Linked DNA regions of Sus scrofa. The protein of the gene in region 1 purifies or fractionates together with the protein of each later gene. This does not show direct contact. Links are inferred from orthologs where the notes say so. Each region holds a gene or a part of one and is shown on either strand. Other genes may lie near its edges.

Evidence for each region.
Region 2: the proteins of ASXL2 (region 1) and OGT purify together in Homo sapiens (affinity purification with mass spectrometry; 3 studies listed by BioGRID and IntAct, with this or other methods). This does not show direct contact. The link is inferred for Sus scrofa from reciprocal best matches to the Homo sapiens genes ASXL2 and OGT.

Annotation. Positions count from the first base shown.
Region 1 is NC_010445.4:113,041,051-113,049,726, reverse strand, and holds the start of ASXL2 (putative Polycomb group protein ASXL2), read right to left. Parts: upstream 4,940-8,676; 5' UTR 4,816-4,939; coding exon 4,480-4,815; intron 4,468-4,479; exon of another isoform or gene 3,881-4,467; intron 1-3,880.
Region 2 is NC_010461.5:57,542,710-57,550,610, reverse strand, and holds part of OGT (UDP-N-acetylglucosamine--peptide N-acetylglucosaminyltransferase 110 kDa subunit), read right to left. Parts: intron 7,769-7,901; coding exon 7,679-7,768; intron 4,891-7,678; coding exon 4,765-4,890; intron 4,084-4,764; coding exon 3,913-4,083; intron 3,801-3,912; coding exon 3,684-3,800; intron 3,594-3,683; coding exon 3,423-3,593; intron 1,355-3,422; coding exon 1,202-1,354; intron 1-1,201. UniProt on the Homo sapiens protein: Catalyzes the transfer of a single N-acetylglucosamine from UDP-GlcNAc to a serine or threonine residue in cytoplasmic and nuclear proteins resulting in their modification with a beta-linked N-acetylglucosamine (O-GlcNAc).

The DNA of each region.
Region 1 (8,676 bases):
CCGATTGGACCCCTAGCCTGGGAACCTCCATATGCCCTAGAAAAGGCAAAAAGACAAAAAAAAAAAAAAAAAAAAAAAAAAAAAAAAAGTACTTTCAAAACAGTATTAACCACTAAGTGAAATACAAACAAAAAAAAAGCCCACTTTTTCTTACAAATAAAATTCTAAAGATTTACACTACTCTGCTATGCTTCTCACCTCTAACACCCATGCTTCACTTCCTGTATCTGACCTCTTAACTCCCCAAAGATACCCAAAAGCACCTCTCGTGCAATCTCTAAGGTCTACCTCTCTGTCCGTCCATCTATAATCACAACAAATCCGTCCTAAAAGGAACTTTTTTTTCCCTTTTAATACTCCCCTTGATGTAGTGGGTAACAAGGGGAAAAATCAAAAAGAAAACAGTATCAATAAGATTATACTATTTCGAAAGCTCTGTTTTGCAAAAAAAGCTAAATTCTGCAGGGATGTTACCAAATATTTACATAATACAATGTCTTCTATTTTTTTTTTTAAGGAATGAGCATTAACTTTGAATATAGTTCTAAAGTCAGTGCAATGGTTCTTAGTGTCTCTGGCTTATTACAAATTTTTCTATTTAAATTGCATCAAACATGCCTCCACAGATCTCTCATCCAAATCATTTCATCACCACTATTATTGTCACCTTTAAAATTTAAAACATATAAGACTGTTAACTAAATACTTGAATAATACTTTTTTTTTTTTTTTTTGGTCTTTTGCCTTTTCTAGGGCCACTCCAGAGGCATATGGAGGTTCCCAGGCTAGGGGTCTAATTGGAGCTGTTGCTGCCGGCCTACCACCACAGCCACAGCAACGAGGGATCCGAGCCGCGTCTGCAACCTACACCACAACTCACAGCAAGGCCAGATCCTTAACCCATTGAGCGAGGCCAGGGATTGAACCCGCAACCTCATGGTTCCTAGTCGGATTCGTTAACCACTGAGCCATGATGGGAATTCCAGAATAATCTTTTTATAACTAGTATATTTATATAAAATATAAGATCAGTGGGAACACAATGAGCATTCAAGTTCAGCTGAATCTCAGCTCCATTATTTCTCTGTCCTTACTTATTGGAACCAGTCTATAGCCTATTTTTAATCAGCCTTTCCGAGTAATTTTATAATTATATAATAATTATGAATCTTATTTATTTTGCCTTTTCAGATTGTTCATAGAAATCTTTTTCTTTTTATGGCCACACCTGTGGCATATGTAAGTTCCTGGGCCAGGGGTCAAATCAGAGTTGCAGCTGGGGCCTACATCACAGCAACAGCAACCCTGGACCCAAGCCACTTCTGTGATATACGTACACTGCAGCTGTGGCAACACTGTATTCTTAAACCACTGAGCAAGGCCAGGGATCAAACTCACATCCTCACAGAGATAACATCTGGCTCTTAACCCACTGAGCCACAATGGCAACTCACATAGCAATCTTAATATCAATTTGCAACTCTCACATACACACACTCCAAAACACATATGTATATATACATTAGTAATTGATTAAATATATCTGTTGCTGTATTATTGGTCAAGAATATGAACCCATTCTAATAACACTCGCTAAAACTGGACAGCTCTACAACACAGGTACCAAGAACACAACAAGAGGCAGATACTTCCTTTCTGAAACTCTGGTTCCTAAAACATTTGACCTTAATGCCTATGAAATAAGTTTAAGACTTACTTCTCCTGGTCCTCTCGATCTTATCAATACTCACAGGGTTTTCTAATTTAGGTCAAAGTTACTCCCATTTGTCAAACCACTCATTTTCCAATCTCATTATTCTGCAGTCTGAAAACATGAAAGATTTACTCCTGTCTATTCCTCTCACATTTACTTCTACACAGTCCCCCTACAAACAGAATCCTTTTTAACACTGAGGTTTAGTGTAATTCCTCACTATAGAAATGATAAAACAAAAAAAGAGTAGTGTTTTCTAGATTTTGGCTACAAGAAAAAAATAAATTTCAGTGTCCCTAGTCTCTTCCTAAAATTCATTTTTATTTAGACTGAAGTCTTATGCATGTGCCAGAATTAAATAAAAACACCAAGCTACTAATACACTAACCCCGTCAAGAACTCACTCAGAGCTCTACTGATTAAGCTAGAATTCCATCTTTGAAATACTACTTTCACAGAGCTAGCTATGGCATGAAATGCTTATTAAAAATGAGCGGATATTCTCATTTATTATAGGAAAATCTAAACAGTAGATGCAAATTTGTCCTGTCACAATCTCCCAATGACTAGATTATTTTATCCAGAGATAATTCAAAAAGTACTCTTAAGCTTCTAGACTTAAAGTTAATTAACATAATTAATTAGGAGTAGGATTTGCTTACATATAATAATAAAGTTTACCCTCTCTTTTATTTTTTATTTATTTATGTCTTTTTTTGCCTTTTCTAGGGCAGCTTCGCAAGGCATATGGAGGTTCCCAGGTTAGCAGGAGCTGTAGCGGCCAACTTACGTCAGAGCCACAGCAACTCGGGATCCGAGCTGCATCTGCAACCTACACCACAGCTCACGGCAACGCCAGATCCTTAACCCACTGAGCAAGGCCAGGGATCAAACCTGCAACCTCATGGTTCCTAGTCAGATTCATTAACCACTGGGCCATTACAGGAACTCCTACCCTCTCGTTTCATAAAAGAGATTGTAAAGTAGTATTGACCAGGTACAACAGTAGAACAGTCTTTTGTGAAGGAGCAATTTCCCCACTATCAAAAAAAAAAATTATTTCTAGAGTTTTTTCTTTAAGTCGGTTTAGAGGGAAATGGCCAATGGTCACAATTATCAAGATATATTGTAGGTGAAAACACTTAACAAATAAATGTGCTTTTTATTTATTCATCAACTTTTGTACCTTTCCAACTAAAATAGACATACAAGTGTAAGACTCATCAACCCTCTAAGGCATAACGTTTACAAAACAAATGCACAGGGGTTCCCGTCCTGGTGCAGTTGTTAACGAATCCTACTAGGAATCATGAGGCTGCTGGTTCGATCCCTGCCCTTGCTCAGTGGGTTAAGGATACGGCGTTGCTGTGAGCTGTGGTGTAGGTTCCAGACTCGGCTCGGATCCTGCGTTGCTGTGGCTCTGGCGTAGGTCGGTGGCTACAGCTCCGATTAGACCCCTAGCCTGGGAACCTCCATATGCCTCGGGAGTGGCCCAAGAAATAGCAAAAAGACAAAAAGACAAAAAAAAAAAAAAAAAGCACAAGTAGGACCCAGATTTCGGGAAATAAATTCAAATTCAGGGCTCTGACGGATGAAACACACGATTTATTTCCTTCTTGATACTAAAATCCTAGAGCTTTAACATATATTTTCCCACAATTAACATATATTACTTTTATTTAAACTCCCCTTTAAAAAATAAACCACACAACTCTTCACTTAGAAGAGTGCTCCACGTTGTACAAGTATTGACATCATTCACCATTAAGATTATGCTTCCACTCATTCTCACTTCCAACTCTAAATGCTGTTTTGTGTCCCACAACTTCTCTGCTGCACTCTCAAAGATGGAATGAACCTGACTTTCTCTAAACGTTTCATTTCTACATACATGCACGCTTTTAAATTTTTTCATGAAACAAAACTTCTCACTCATCCTCAATATTCTATTTTTTAAAACCTACTTCTAAACTTCACAATAATAAATTTAGAAAAGGGGGAAAGAAGGATGGTTTTATCCACTACAACTTCGTGAGGCCATCGCTTTAGCTACGGAAAAGTCAAGGCTCAGTAAACTACACGTCCCACCATGCTTTGCTGCCTTGTTCAGAGTAGGTCTCTACGGAAACAGAAAAAAAAAAAAAAAAAAAATTCTACAAGTCCCACCTGTTACTTCGTTTCTAAACACCTCCAGCACTTTCAGCTGCAACAGCAAACATAAAACAAGAGCCTCGTGACCTCCGGCCGGATCCGGGAGCCCAGACAAGCAAGGGGCCCGGGGTCAGGCGGCAGATCTGCTACAGCGGGTGGGTTCTACCCAGCGCCAGCGCTCCCCTCTTCTTTCCGGGGCTGGGTGCACGCACAAGCCTTCTCCTATCTGCATCCAATGGGGGCTCTTCAGCCGCAAAAGGGAGAAGAACCGGTTACTGTGCAAGCACAACAGACTTCCCCATGCCGGGGCGGGGGCTACCACGGAGTCGGGGTGAGAGCGTCGCGACCCAGAGAGCAGCTTCAAAACACCAAGAGGATTCGTCGCAGAGCAGGGAGAAGCCACAGCCCCGTGGCGACCCTCTTCCGCTGGCGCCTCCATTCCCACAGGGACCACAAACCCGACACTAACCGCCGCCCTCGCCGCGCGGTTTTTTGCCCCCTCAGTCGAGTGGCAGGACCATTGACCCCCCCACCCCGCGCCGCTTCCCCTGCGACCGGTGGGCGGAGAAGGAACGAAAACCTCCTGGCTTTCCACTCCGCTCCCTCCTCCTTACCGTCTTGGCGGCCTCCGCCCAGGTCCTGCCCTTCTTCCTACGGCCCTTTTCCCTCATGTCGGGTCTTGAACTGACTGGGAGGCTCCCGTGTCCGGGCTCCAGCCGCCCTCCCTGCCTGCTCTGCCCTGCGCTGTTTTTCCCGCGGTGCCGGGAAAGGTGGGAGAAAGGGGAAGTCAGGCCAGAGGAGCACCCAAGCAGAGGAAGCGGCGGCGGTGGTGCGCGGGGTGGGGGTGGGGGGGGGAAATCTATGAAGCGGCCGGTCCTCCTGCTGCCGTTGCCACTGCTACCGCCGCTGCCATATTGGGTCCTTACTGTACAGGCAGCCGCTACGGTCATGTGACCGCTCCCGCGCGGCCGTCACTACTGTACGCAGCCGGCCGCGCGAGCGAGCGCGCGCGCGCTCCCGCCACCTGCGCCGGGCTGCGGAGAGAGCGAGCCAGCAGTGCCCGGCGCCTAGCCACGCCCCCGCCCTTCCGCTCTCCGCCTCTCCTCGCGAGCTTGCGCAAAGGGAAGGACCGACGCTGCGCTGCGTCGGGCGTCCTGCGCTTACGCCTACAGCAAAAACCTGCGGAAGCGGAACTTGATCCGTCCCGGAAGGTTTATTGAGCGGATTCTGACCGCGTTGGGAGGGCGTTACGGTGACTTTATAGACATAATCCTGGGGAGAACCGTGCTCTTCCTTCTAGGAGCAACCCTCCCAAGTATCACTTTCAATGAGCCTCGAAGTTGCGTTTTTTTGTCTATGTTCATTTTCATAAAGGCTCTCTTTTTGAAGGTTTGCAGTAATTCTAGCCTATCTGTTTATGCCATCTGATAGATGAAGCAATTTGAGTTTGAGTGACTTGCTAAACTCACGAGTCTGGAATGCGGTGAAACCAAAAATCAAATTACCGCCTCAGAGTCCTTTCTGTCTCCCCAGAGTGCCTCTCAAACTTAGGTGACCTTTATTTTAAGGCCACCAATAACTACATTCACACTTTTACTTGTGAATGTCTCATCAAGGACACAAATGGTGTCTTTTTTATCTGGGTGAGTTCAGTCCCTGGCACAGTGCCTGTACATATCAGGCGCCCAGTAAATATTTGCTGAATGATTCAGCTGTAGCTGTAGTCAGAAACCATTATTTGTAATGACCTTAACTGCCTCCTGAAAGATACAGAATGTGGCATCTTCCATCGAAATGTCCTTGTCTTGATACTTTGCAAAAAGGGCAGTAATGCCTACTAATCTCCCAAGTCCACCTGCTTCCAGAAGCTGCTTCCGGTCTACTAAATTTACTATGTTCTAAAATAAGACTGAGAGTTGGGCTGCCTCTTGGGAGAAAAGACAGTTGAGAACAATACTTATCTTGGAGTCCAAGGATGCGTTTCAGAAGCTCATGGCCCCTCTAAAATTATGGAAAGTATTTTGTATGTGTTAGTTGTGTATTTTTTGAGAAGAGGATTCATAACATTTCGTCATTTTTTTAAAGGAGTCTTTTACACACGTACACAAGTCTTAAGAGGGCGTCTGAGAGGGCTTCTGGAAACTTCTTTATCTTTCCCCTTCAACCATTGACAGTCAAACAGCCCCATATCAGCAATTGATACGGTCATGTTTTCACCAATTTCTTTAGTGATAGCATGATCCGTAACACTCAAGGGATGTACCGTCTCCCTCTAAAGCCTAGGTCTATAGTCTGTTCAAGAAGCAGCTCTCCATTCCTAGCCATTGCCTGGGACTTGTCATCTAGCCCTGTTGCCTGAGAATTTTACCTCAGCTTGTTTTCAGATCTTGCTAGGACAGATTTTCCCGCTGTCCTTACTTTGCTTTTCTGGAGCTCCATTCCCAGATTTTAATTTCAAGGGTAGGGGTTGTGGTAATGCAGTTCCTACTTGTTAAACTTCAACAGATCTGGATAATTTTGTTGTTATTATTATTAATAATAATGAATTATAATTCCCCAGAGACTATGTTTGTTCTAGTGTGTATTGATTCAATTTGTTATGCCTATTTGCCTCTCTCACATCATTTTCATTCAGTTCTGGATTTCCCTAAATGTTCTACCTCTACTCCCACCCTACTCAAACCCATCCTTCAAAGGATGCCAGATCTTACTTCTTAAAAACCCATCCTCCCCCACAGCGACACTCTCCATAATTCCTAATCAGGCCAAATTTCTTAGCCCTGCTTCTACTTTTGCCTCTTCATTTCATTGATACTACTGATTCGCATATCATATAAAAATCATTGGCCACCAGGTGTCTTTATACTTTGCAAAAAGTGTAGTAATGCCAACCAATCTCCCAAGGGCAGGATCCATGCCCTCCCAGCAAAGCCAGGGATCAAACCTGCATCCTCATGGATTCTAGTCGGATTCGTTTCCACTGTGCCAGGAAGGGAACTCCCATGGTACAAATTTAATCCCTGGCCTGAAAACATCCACGTGCCAAAAAAGAAAAAAAAAATGAAATATATAATCTTTCCAGGGTAAAATAAAGAAACCTCTTTTCCCTACCACCTTACCCTACCAAATTATTTTTCCTTTTTTTTCCCCTCTTCCTTTTTTTTTCAACCTGCTGCACCCCAAGAGAACTCCCCCCATTATTTTTCTCACTGTGGAGACTCAGACTGACTGATCTGTGATCATTTTGCCTCTCAGAGGTTGGGTGGGCCACTTAAACTTTTTAAGCCTCAGTTCTCTCTACTAGGGGTTATTATGAGGTCTGCGTGAAGTAATAGATGTCAAGTGCTTAGAATAGCACCTGGTAGAGTGTAAGCCATCAATTAATGTTAACTATTGTAGTTTATATATTATTATATTTATTATGTAATAAATATATAATATTTTAATTTATAAATTTATTATTATTATAAATTTATTATGTTATTATAATAAATTCTGACCAGAAAAGAGGACAAAAGTAAAACATCTGAACTCTTCTTCCCGCCTGCAAAACTTATAAATAGCTGTTTCCATTTCTCTACTATGCAACAAGATTTAGCTTACTTGGTGACTGGGCCAGGAAGAGGAAAAGACAGCAAAGGAATTGACTGTTGAATGTCTGCTACATACCTGGCAATTTATATGAGGATATGATGATTGAGAAACTTTTCAAGAAATAATGCTTTGAGGGACAATTTCTGCCAACTACTAATATGACCTTGAAATGCTCAGTCCAATTCAATTAAACATATGACTTTCGTATCTTTCAACCATGAGCCAAACACTAAGGACCAGAAATGAGTGCAAGACAGCAAAACAGGGAGGACAAGGACGGCAGCTGTCATGCTCATTAGTATATTTTCAGTGTCTAGAGTGTCACCTTGTAATAGGAGATCTCAATATAATTTTATTAAGTGAAAAAGCAGATGAATGAATAAATGAGCACGACAGAGCCCCTACTCCCAAGTAGCTCATGTTAAAGTAAAAAAAACCTTATAAACAAATTAAATACCACATATTGTCATACATGCCATCATAAACATATATGCACTATCCTAAAGTGACAGAGACCAAAAGGTAATAAATTCCATGGGGACTAGAGCTGGGGAGGATGTCCAGCAAGACTCTGAGGAGGAGAACTTTATTTTATTTTATTTTGCTTTTTAGGGCTGCACCCACGGCATATGGAAGTTCCCAGGCTAGGGGTTGAATCAGAGCTACAGTTGCTGGCCTACGCCAGAGCCACAGCAACGCCAGATCCAAGCCACATCTGCAACCTACACCACAGCTCACAGCTAGGCCAGATCCTTAACCCACTGAGCAAGGCCAGGGACTAAACCCGAGTCCTCGTGGATACTAGTCTGGTTTGTTACCACTGAGTCACTATGGGAACTCCCTCACTAACTTTAATTTGTCACCTATGACTTTGTCACCAACAGAAACCGCAGATATTTTTCATATTATACTACGGAAATAAGTTTATATTTATCATAACTTCACAGCGTCAATATTACTAAACCTGCCACTAGATCATGTTACTTGAGGCATTAGCAATGAACCACCTAGGAGTTCCCATCCTGGGTCAGCTCAGCTCCCACATTGCTGTAGCCGGCAGCTGTTAACTCCGATTCAACCCCTAGCCTGGGAACTTCCATGTGCTGAGGCTGTGGCCTTTAAAAGAAAAAAATCAATGAAGCACCTATATCACTATATCACAAGTTTGTCTCTCTAATAAGCTGATAACTCTTATTTCTATATAAATGTCTTTTTTG
Region 2 (7,901 bases), on another chromosome or scaffold:
TAAGGATCCAGTGTTGCCACAGAAGCGGCTCAGATCTGGTGTTGCTGTGGCTGTGGTGTAGGCTGGCAGCTGTAGCGCCAATTAGACCCCTAGCCTGGGAACCTCCATATGCCACAGGTGTGGCCCTTAAAAAAGCCAAAAAAAAAAAAAAAAAAAAAAAAAGAGAGAGAGAGAGAAATTTAGAATATTTTAGATTTTAAAAACAAACTAGTACAGTGAATATAAATTACGTAACACTCTCAGCAAGAGCTCCCTGTAAACAAACATATTATTTTTGCATCAAGATGTAGGAATATTCATACTAAATGGAATAAATAAAGAACCATAAATAGCCTAACTTCAGTTCAGGTAGTTCTGCTGCCAAATAAATTTATCACGAACTTATGAACATGCTTTTTTATGGTTTTTTGGTTTTTTTTAATGAGGAGGTGAAGATTAAGAGACAATAAATCTGTACTCATCTGCTTCTTCTTCTCAACTCTCCTCTCTCCTTTAAAAATACAAAACAGATAAAAAACTAGATAGTAATCAGGAAAAAAAACCAAGAATTATCTCCATTTTAAAAAGCTCTATGGAATAAGAGCCAGATACAGATAGCAAAGTTTAGAACCTTCAGATGTCCTGCTTATACAAACTGGTCTGATGAACTAACTGAAAGGTAATGGCATAAACCAGTTCCTTCCTGGTTATAACTCTACAATATTGGAAGAATGATGTTAAACATGGGTCGGATGTACCTAACAGCTCTGCTATCAGATTAGACCATGGGTTGGCAAACTACAGCCTGTGAGCCAAATCTGGCACATTGCCTGTCTTCATAGATAAAAATTTCTTGGAAGATACCTACACTCATTCATTCACATAATGAATATGGTGTTTTCCTGCTACAATGGCAGAAGTGAACAGATGTGACAGAGTATAGACGGCAAAACCAAAAGTATTTATGCCATCTGGCCTTTTAAGAAAAAGCCTGCTGATCCCTGCTTTTCGACACATAAATTCTAAAAGTTCATAATGTGACATTTAGACACTAGGAAAAATCAAAAATCACTGAAAATCTACAACCCTTGAAGATTAGACATGAGCACAACAGCTCCTGAATGGAGATGGGGGGCGGGGTGGGCAGGGCAGTCTCAGCAAGATGGCCTATATACAGAATCTCTTAGAGTCTCTAGACAACAATGAATCCACATATACTCACATTTGCCCACATCTGCAAAGTAGAAGGGTCAATTTTATATAACTGATTAAAGTTACAGTACACAATAGCATCTTCTGGTAACCCATACTGAGAACGTGTGGTGACAATAATAGTACGGGGAACCTCCTCTCCAGTGGCAGCCTTATTGTTGATCTAGAACAAGAAAAAGAAAATGATGATTATATTTAAAGTCAACATAGTCCAATAGTTTTCAATCAATAAAGAATCCTTATGATGCAAAGTGGTATAACCATTTTTTTAAATTGAACTATAGGAGTTCCCATCATGGCTCGGCAGTTAACGAACCCAACTGGCATCCATGAGGATGAGGGTCCTTGGCCTTTCTCAGTAGGTTAAGGATCTGGCATTGCCATGAGCTGTGATATAGGTTGCAGACGCAGCTCAGATCCCGCACTGCTGTGGCTCTGGTGTAGGCCTGCAGGCTACAGCTCCGATTGGACCCCTAGCCTGGGAACCTCCATATGCTGCAGGTGCAGCCATAAAAAGACAAAAAACAAACAAAAAAATTGAAATACAGTTGATTTACAGTGTGTTCGTTTCTTCTATAAAGCAAAGTGAGTCAGCTATACATATATATTCTTTTTATATTCTTTTCCATTATGTTTTACTATAAAATATTGAATTATCATTCCCTATGCTATACAGTAGGAGTGGTATAACCATTAAAAGTCATGTCTCTGAACTATAATGAGAATATATTCATGATACCTTAAAGGAAAAAAGCTACAGCGTTATCTTAATTTGGAGAAGACTGTACTATGCAAAGTCTTACCCTAGCCAGAGTTCTCTTCAAATCTCAATTAATCCAACAGCAAGCTTTTGCTCACTTTTTTCTCTGTGAATGAAATGTCTTTTTCTAAATCACACCCACTTTTCAAGGCTAAATTTAAATTACCCTTCCGAACAATCTCTACGAAGACTGCCTCTCCTCACACTGATCATCACTATTTCTATGTACACAATTACAGTTTTATCTCACAATTCCCATACATCTGGTTACTGCCTTACACTATTATGTAACTATTCCAAGTGTGATGGACATTTCATACATATAGGTATTGTGTTCTACACTCAAAATGCTTTGTCCCTGTACACATACAATTTAAGAATTGTATCTTTTCCCCTTAAGTCAAGCATGCCTACCCTATTGTTTCAAAGGCCAGTTAATCGAAGGAGTAAAAAAACATATAACTGTCTTTTTTAGCCCAATACACATTATGGGTGACTAATTCCTTTACCTGAATTCACATCAAGCATCCTTTATATAAACTGTTATGCCACTAAAAGTGTTCATTCTAAGAGGTCAGGGATTCTGCCCTTATTTTCTCTTGACAGAGCTTACATATTCACTTATTCAAGTATACAATATATATTTACTGAGCACATACCACATTACTGTGGCTAAAACACAGGCCCTAAAGTCATTCAATTCAGTAATTCAATTCAAACTCAGAGAATTAAAACATGTTGAGCTGGATGTAAAGATATAACCCAAATATCACAGAAGCAGAGAAAATAGGTATCAATGGGGCAGGGAAGGAGAGCTGAGGAATACGGAGAAAAACGGACTCCTAGAGGAGCTGTCTAAACTCAGTGTCTTAAAGATGAGTAAGTTTTAACTGAGGAAAGGATGAGTTACAGAAGCAAGAAACTGTATGATGCCTACAGACAATTCACCATTGATAAGAGTAAAACCATAGGCAGGGAATAACAAGATATTAACACAGAAAACTCTCATTAAGTAACCTGCTGGCTGAATTCAAGAGACATTTTAAAAATCAAACAAACTGGAGTTCCCGTCGTGGCTCAGCGGTTACTGAACCCAACTAGCATCCATGAGGATGCAGGTTCAATCCCTGGCCTTGCTCAGTGGGTTAAAGATCCAGCGTTGCCGAGAGCTGTGGTGTAAGTCGCAGATGCAGCTCGGATCCTGCATTGCTGTGGCGTAGGCCAGCTGCTTCAGCTCCAATTCGACCCCTAGCCTGGGAACCTCCATGTGCCACGGGTACAGCCCTAAAAAGACAAAAAGACAAAAAATAAATAAATAAAAATAAAACAAACCTAGAAGATGTCAATTTCTACTGAATTCATTTCCTAATCTATAAAACAGGAGTAGTGATGCTCACCTCTTAGCATTATGAAATTTAGAAGTAAATGCATATTTGGTGGTACACAACATGCTCTATTATTCTCTTCTCACCTGGGTAGTTGCCAGTCCATTGCTAATACTGAATCCATTAATTGTTATTTGAATTTGTCCTCTGTTAATCATTTCAATAACTGCTTCTGCAATAGTATTCATAGGAATGACAGGCATATTAAGAGCTGTATTACTGCTGTCCGCATTGTCTCCTCCATCAGGACATTTCATCTTAAAATAATTACACAAAATACATCATTAGGGAAAAGATCCCAAATGTAGGTAACTTTATTTCAATGACAATATTGACCAGGTTCTGACCTTTACAATTTTCACATCTGGGAGACTATCAAGAAATGCTTTGAGGTCGATGCCATTCAGCACAATCCGATTGTCATAAATGTGCCCATTGGACTTAAAATCGATGACTGCTTTTTTCTAATTGAAAAAAAGTTTCAGACATGTCTTTTAGGATGGATAGGAACAGTAGCAAGGAAATAAGTGACTACAGTTCTTTGCAATTCCCCCACAGCACTGTTTTTCTACCTACCTTCAGGTGAGGGAACATATTGGCATGATCACCAATAAAGAAAGTATGGGGCATATAAGCCAGTTTCTCAGAATACTGCTCAGCAACTTCAGCAGGTGAAGTTTCCTGATCAGTGATGATATAATCCATGAAAAGCGCGCCACTAGTCCCAGGGTACCCCAGCCACATTGCCTAGAAGAAAAAAGAAATCAGACCTTCATCAAAAGAGTCTAAAATTAGGGAGTTCCCGTCGTGGCGCAGTGGTTAACAAATCCGACTAGGAACCATGAGGTTGCGGGTTCAGTCCCTGCCCTTGCTCAGTGGGTTAATGATCGGGCATTGCCGTGAGCTGTGGTGTAAGTTGCAGACTCGGCTCGGATCCCGCGTTGCTGTGGCTCTGGCGTAGGCCATTGGCTACAGTTCCGATTCGACCCCTAGCCTGGGAACCTCCATGTGCCGCGGGAACGGCCCAAAGAAATATCAAAAAGACAAAAAAAAAAAAAAGAAAGAGTCTAAAATTAAATAAGTAAACAAACAAAACAAAGAGGGTGGACTTCTTTAGCCAAGAGCAATCAAGAAATATTTTAGATTAACCTTCTAGCACTAAAACATTTTTCCGATTTAAAAGAAAGAACAACTGTTTTTTACCCAACTACAAACTGCATGTTTCCATATACATGTACCTATGGGCACTGTGTTCTACACTCAAAATTATTTGTACCTGTGCATTTTCAAGAACTATACTTTTTTTAGTAAGTCAAGCATATCTGCTCTATTGTTTCAAATGCCAGGTAACCAGGGGTGTAGGGGGCAGCACATCACTGTCTTCTTAGCCCAATAAACAATGGGAGTGATTATTATTATTTCCTTTACCTGAATAGGAGCTGGCCTGAGAGCAAAGAGTTCATTGCGAGCACCCTTGGTATAACCATTCATATTTACAAGGATGTGTATACCATCTTGATGGATGCGATCGGCTGCTTTTCCGTTACATGGAATCTATGGAATAAAAAAATAAGAACTCACTATGTATAAATCTCAGACTAATTCAACTGATCTTAATGACATTAAACAAAATTCAAATTCCCAGATGCAAAAGTGGAAAGAACACAAATTACATTAATGCAAGGTAAAATATGATTAAGTGCCATTAAAATGGGCACAAAGCATTACAAAAACAATACAGCGGAAGGAGAGTTTACTTCTAGAATGAATGTATGAACAACTAACTAGCCTTCGTAGGGGGGTTGGTATCTGAAATGGCTCTTCAAAGATAGGAATTTGAGGGAGCTGGAGAGAATACAACCTTAGCAGAGAACTGCATGAATGAAGAACGAAAGTAAAGCACATGGTAGCTTTAAAAAATGGTAGCGTTGCTGTGACTGTGGCGTAGGCCGGCAGCTGTAGCTCCAATTCGACCCCTAGCCTGGAAACCTCCATATGCCGCGGGTGCGGCCCTGAAAAGACAAAAGATAAAAAAAAGTAATAATGGTGAGTAGAGTTCCCATCGTGGCTCAGTGGAAACGAATCTGACTGGTAACCTTGAGGACACAGGTACAATCCCTGGCCTTCCTCAGTGGATTAATGATCCGGCATTGCCATGAGCTGTAGTGTAGGTTATAAACACAGCTTGGATCCAGCATTGCTGTGGCTGTGGTGTGGACTGGCAGCTACAGCTCTGATTCGACCCCTAGCCTGGGACTCCATAGGCCATGGGTGCAGCCCTAAAAATAAAAATAAAAATAAATAAAAAACAAATTAAAAAATGGTGAGTGGATCACTTCTATTTGGTACAGGGTAAACCTGAGGGCGAATGGTGGGTGAAAAACATTGGTAAACAAGTTTGTAGTCAAACCTTGAAAGGTTGTGAAGGCCATGCTGAAGAGTTTAGACTTCATATATGCACACCAATGTTCACTGCAGCATTATTTACAATTGCCAAGATATGGAAGTGACCTAAGTGTCCATTGATGAATAAATGGATAAAGATGTGAGATACACACACACAAAATGGAATATTCCTCAGCTGTTTAAAAAAAAAAAAAGAAATCTTGCCATTTGCAACATGAATGGATCTACAGGGTATTATGCTAAGTGAAATAAATCAGAGAAAGACAAGTACCATATGATCTCACTTACAGATAGATCTAAAAAACAACAAATAAACAAAACAAAACAAAAACAGACTAGATACAGAGAACAAATGGGTGGTTGCCAGAGGGGAGAAGGAGTGAGGGGACAAAATAGGTAAACAGGATTAAGAAGTACAAACCTCCAGTTATAAAAATAAGCAAGCCGCAGGGATATAACATAAGGAATATGGTCAACGATACTGTAGTAACTTTGTATGGGATGACAGATGGTTACTAGACTTATCATGGTGACTTCATAATGTGTATAAATGTAAATTAACTATGTTGTATACCTGAAACTAACATAATATTGTATATCAACTATATTTCAATATATATATATATTAAAAATTAATCATTTTTGAGTTTCCACTGTGGCTCAGTGGTAACAAACCCGACTAGTAGCCATGAGAATGCGGGTTTGATCCCTGGCCTCACTCAGTGAGTAGAGGATTCAGCACTGCCATGAGCTGTGTGTAGGTTGCAGATGCAGCTCGGATCCTGTGCTGCTGTGGTATAGGTCACCAGCTGCAGCTCCGATTCAACCCGTAGCCTGGGAATTTCCATATGCCATATGTGCGGCCCTAAAAAGGGAAAAAAAATTAATTTTTCTTTTTTTAAGAATTTAGCCTTCAGTCAATAAGCAGTGAGTCCCTGAAGGCCTCGAAGGCAGAGGGCAGTATGCCTCGTGGTCACAAAGAGTCCAACCCTACAACAAAAACAGTCAGGCATACTTCTAAAGCAACAGCTGTAACACAAAAGATGTTGGTACAAATTATTTATGAAATGACAAGAGTCTCACAACCCTTCTGCTAGGACTTCAACAATTCATATATGAATTACTAGTTATACAACGCATGCCTATATTAGTCACCAAAGGGGCCAACAGAGTCTATACGAAAAAACTTTAGGGAGTTCCCATTGTGGCTCAGTAAATTACGAACCCGACTAGTATCCACGAGGATGCAGGTTCAATCCCTGGCCTCGCTCAGTAGATTAAGTATCCGGCCTTGCCGCCAGCTGTGGTGTAGGTCTGTAGGTCACAGGCACAGTTCAGATCCCACATTGCTGTTGCTGTGGCATAGGCCAGCAGCTGCAGCTCCAAATCAGCCCCTGGCCTGGGAACTTCCATGTGCTGCAAGTGCAGCCCTAAAAAAAAGGGAAAGAGAAAACTCTAGTCCACGCCTTCAGCAAATTAGTCCACAACTTCAGCAAACAAGTTTCAATCTTAATTTATCATAAAACTTTTGCTCCTAGAAGAAACAGCAATGGAGCAAGTATAGAAATAAAGATAACCAAAGGTAAAAGGCCCTTTAAATGAGCTATCTGCTGTTCTTCCAAGCCACCATTTTGCTCAATTTATTTAATGTTAGGCATTTACTGTTACTAGTGCTAGCCCAATCCCCAGAAATATACCAAGCACAAATATACCACATTTCTATTTCATTTGCAACCTCTCAGCAAAATCCATGCTGATTATAAATTTAATGTAATATTTGTAAACAATCAAGGAAATAAGATCAAAGCAATTGCCCATATGTATGGAGTAGCTAATATTCAATACCTGTCATGAAAAATGCAAGCTATAATACACCTACAGTTTCATTCATTATTTGTTCAAAATAAAAAGTTGGAAGTGTAAGGGTTTCGCCTACCTGAGAAAGATCAATGAAATGATTGGCTTCTGCCATCACCTTCACTCGGAAGTTTGTGCCATCATCTGGGCTCAGGGCATAACAGAATACCTGAAAGGCGACACATACGATATTTAATAACCTTGACGCAAACCTTTCCAAAAGGTTTTGAGCGCAACACTTAACGGTGCCAATAAAGCCACCACTGAGGGTTTGTTTGGTTTTATAAATAAATAGTGACTCA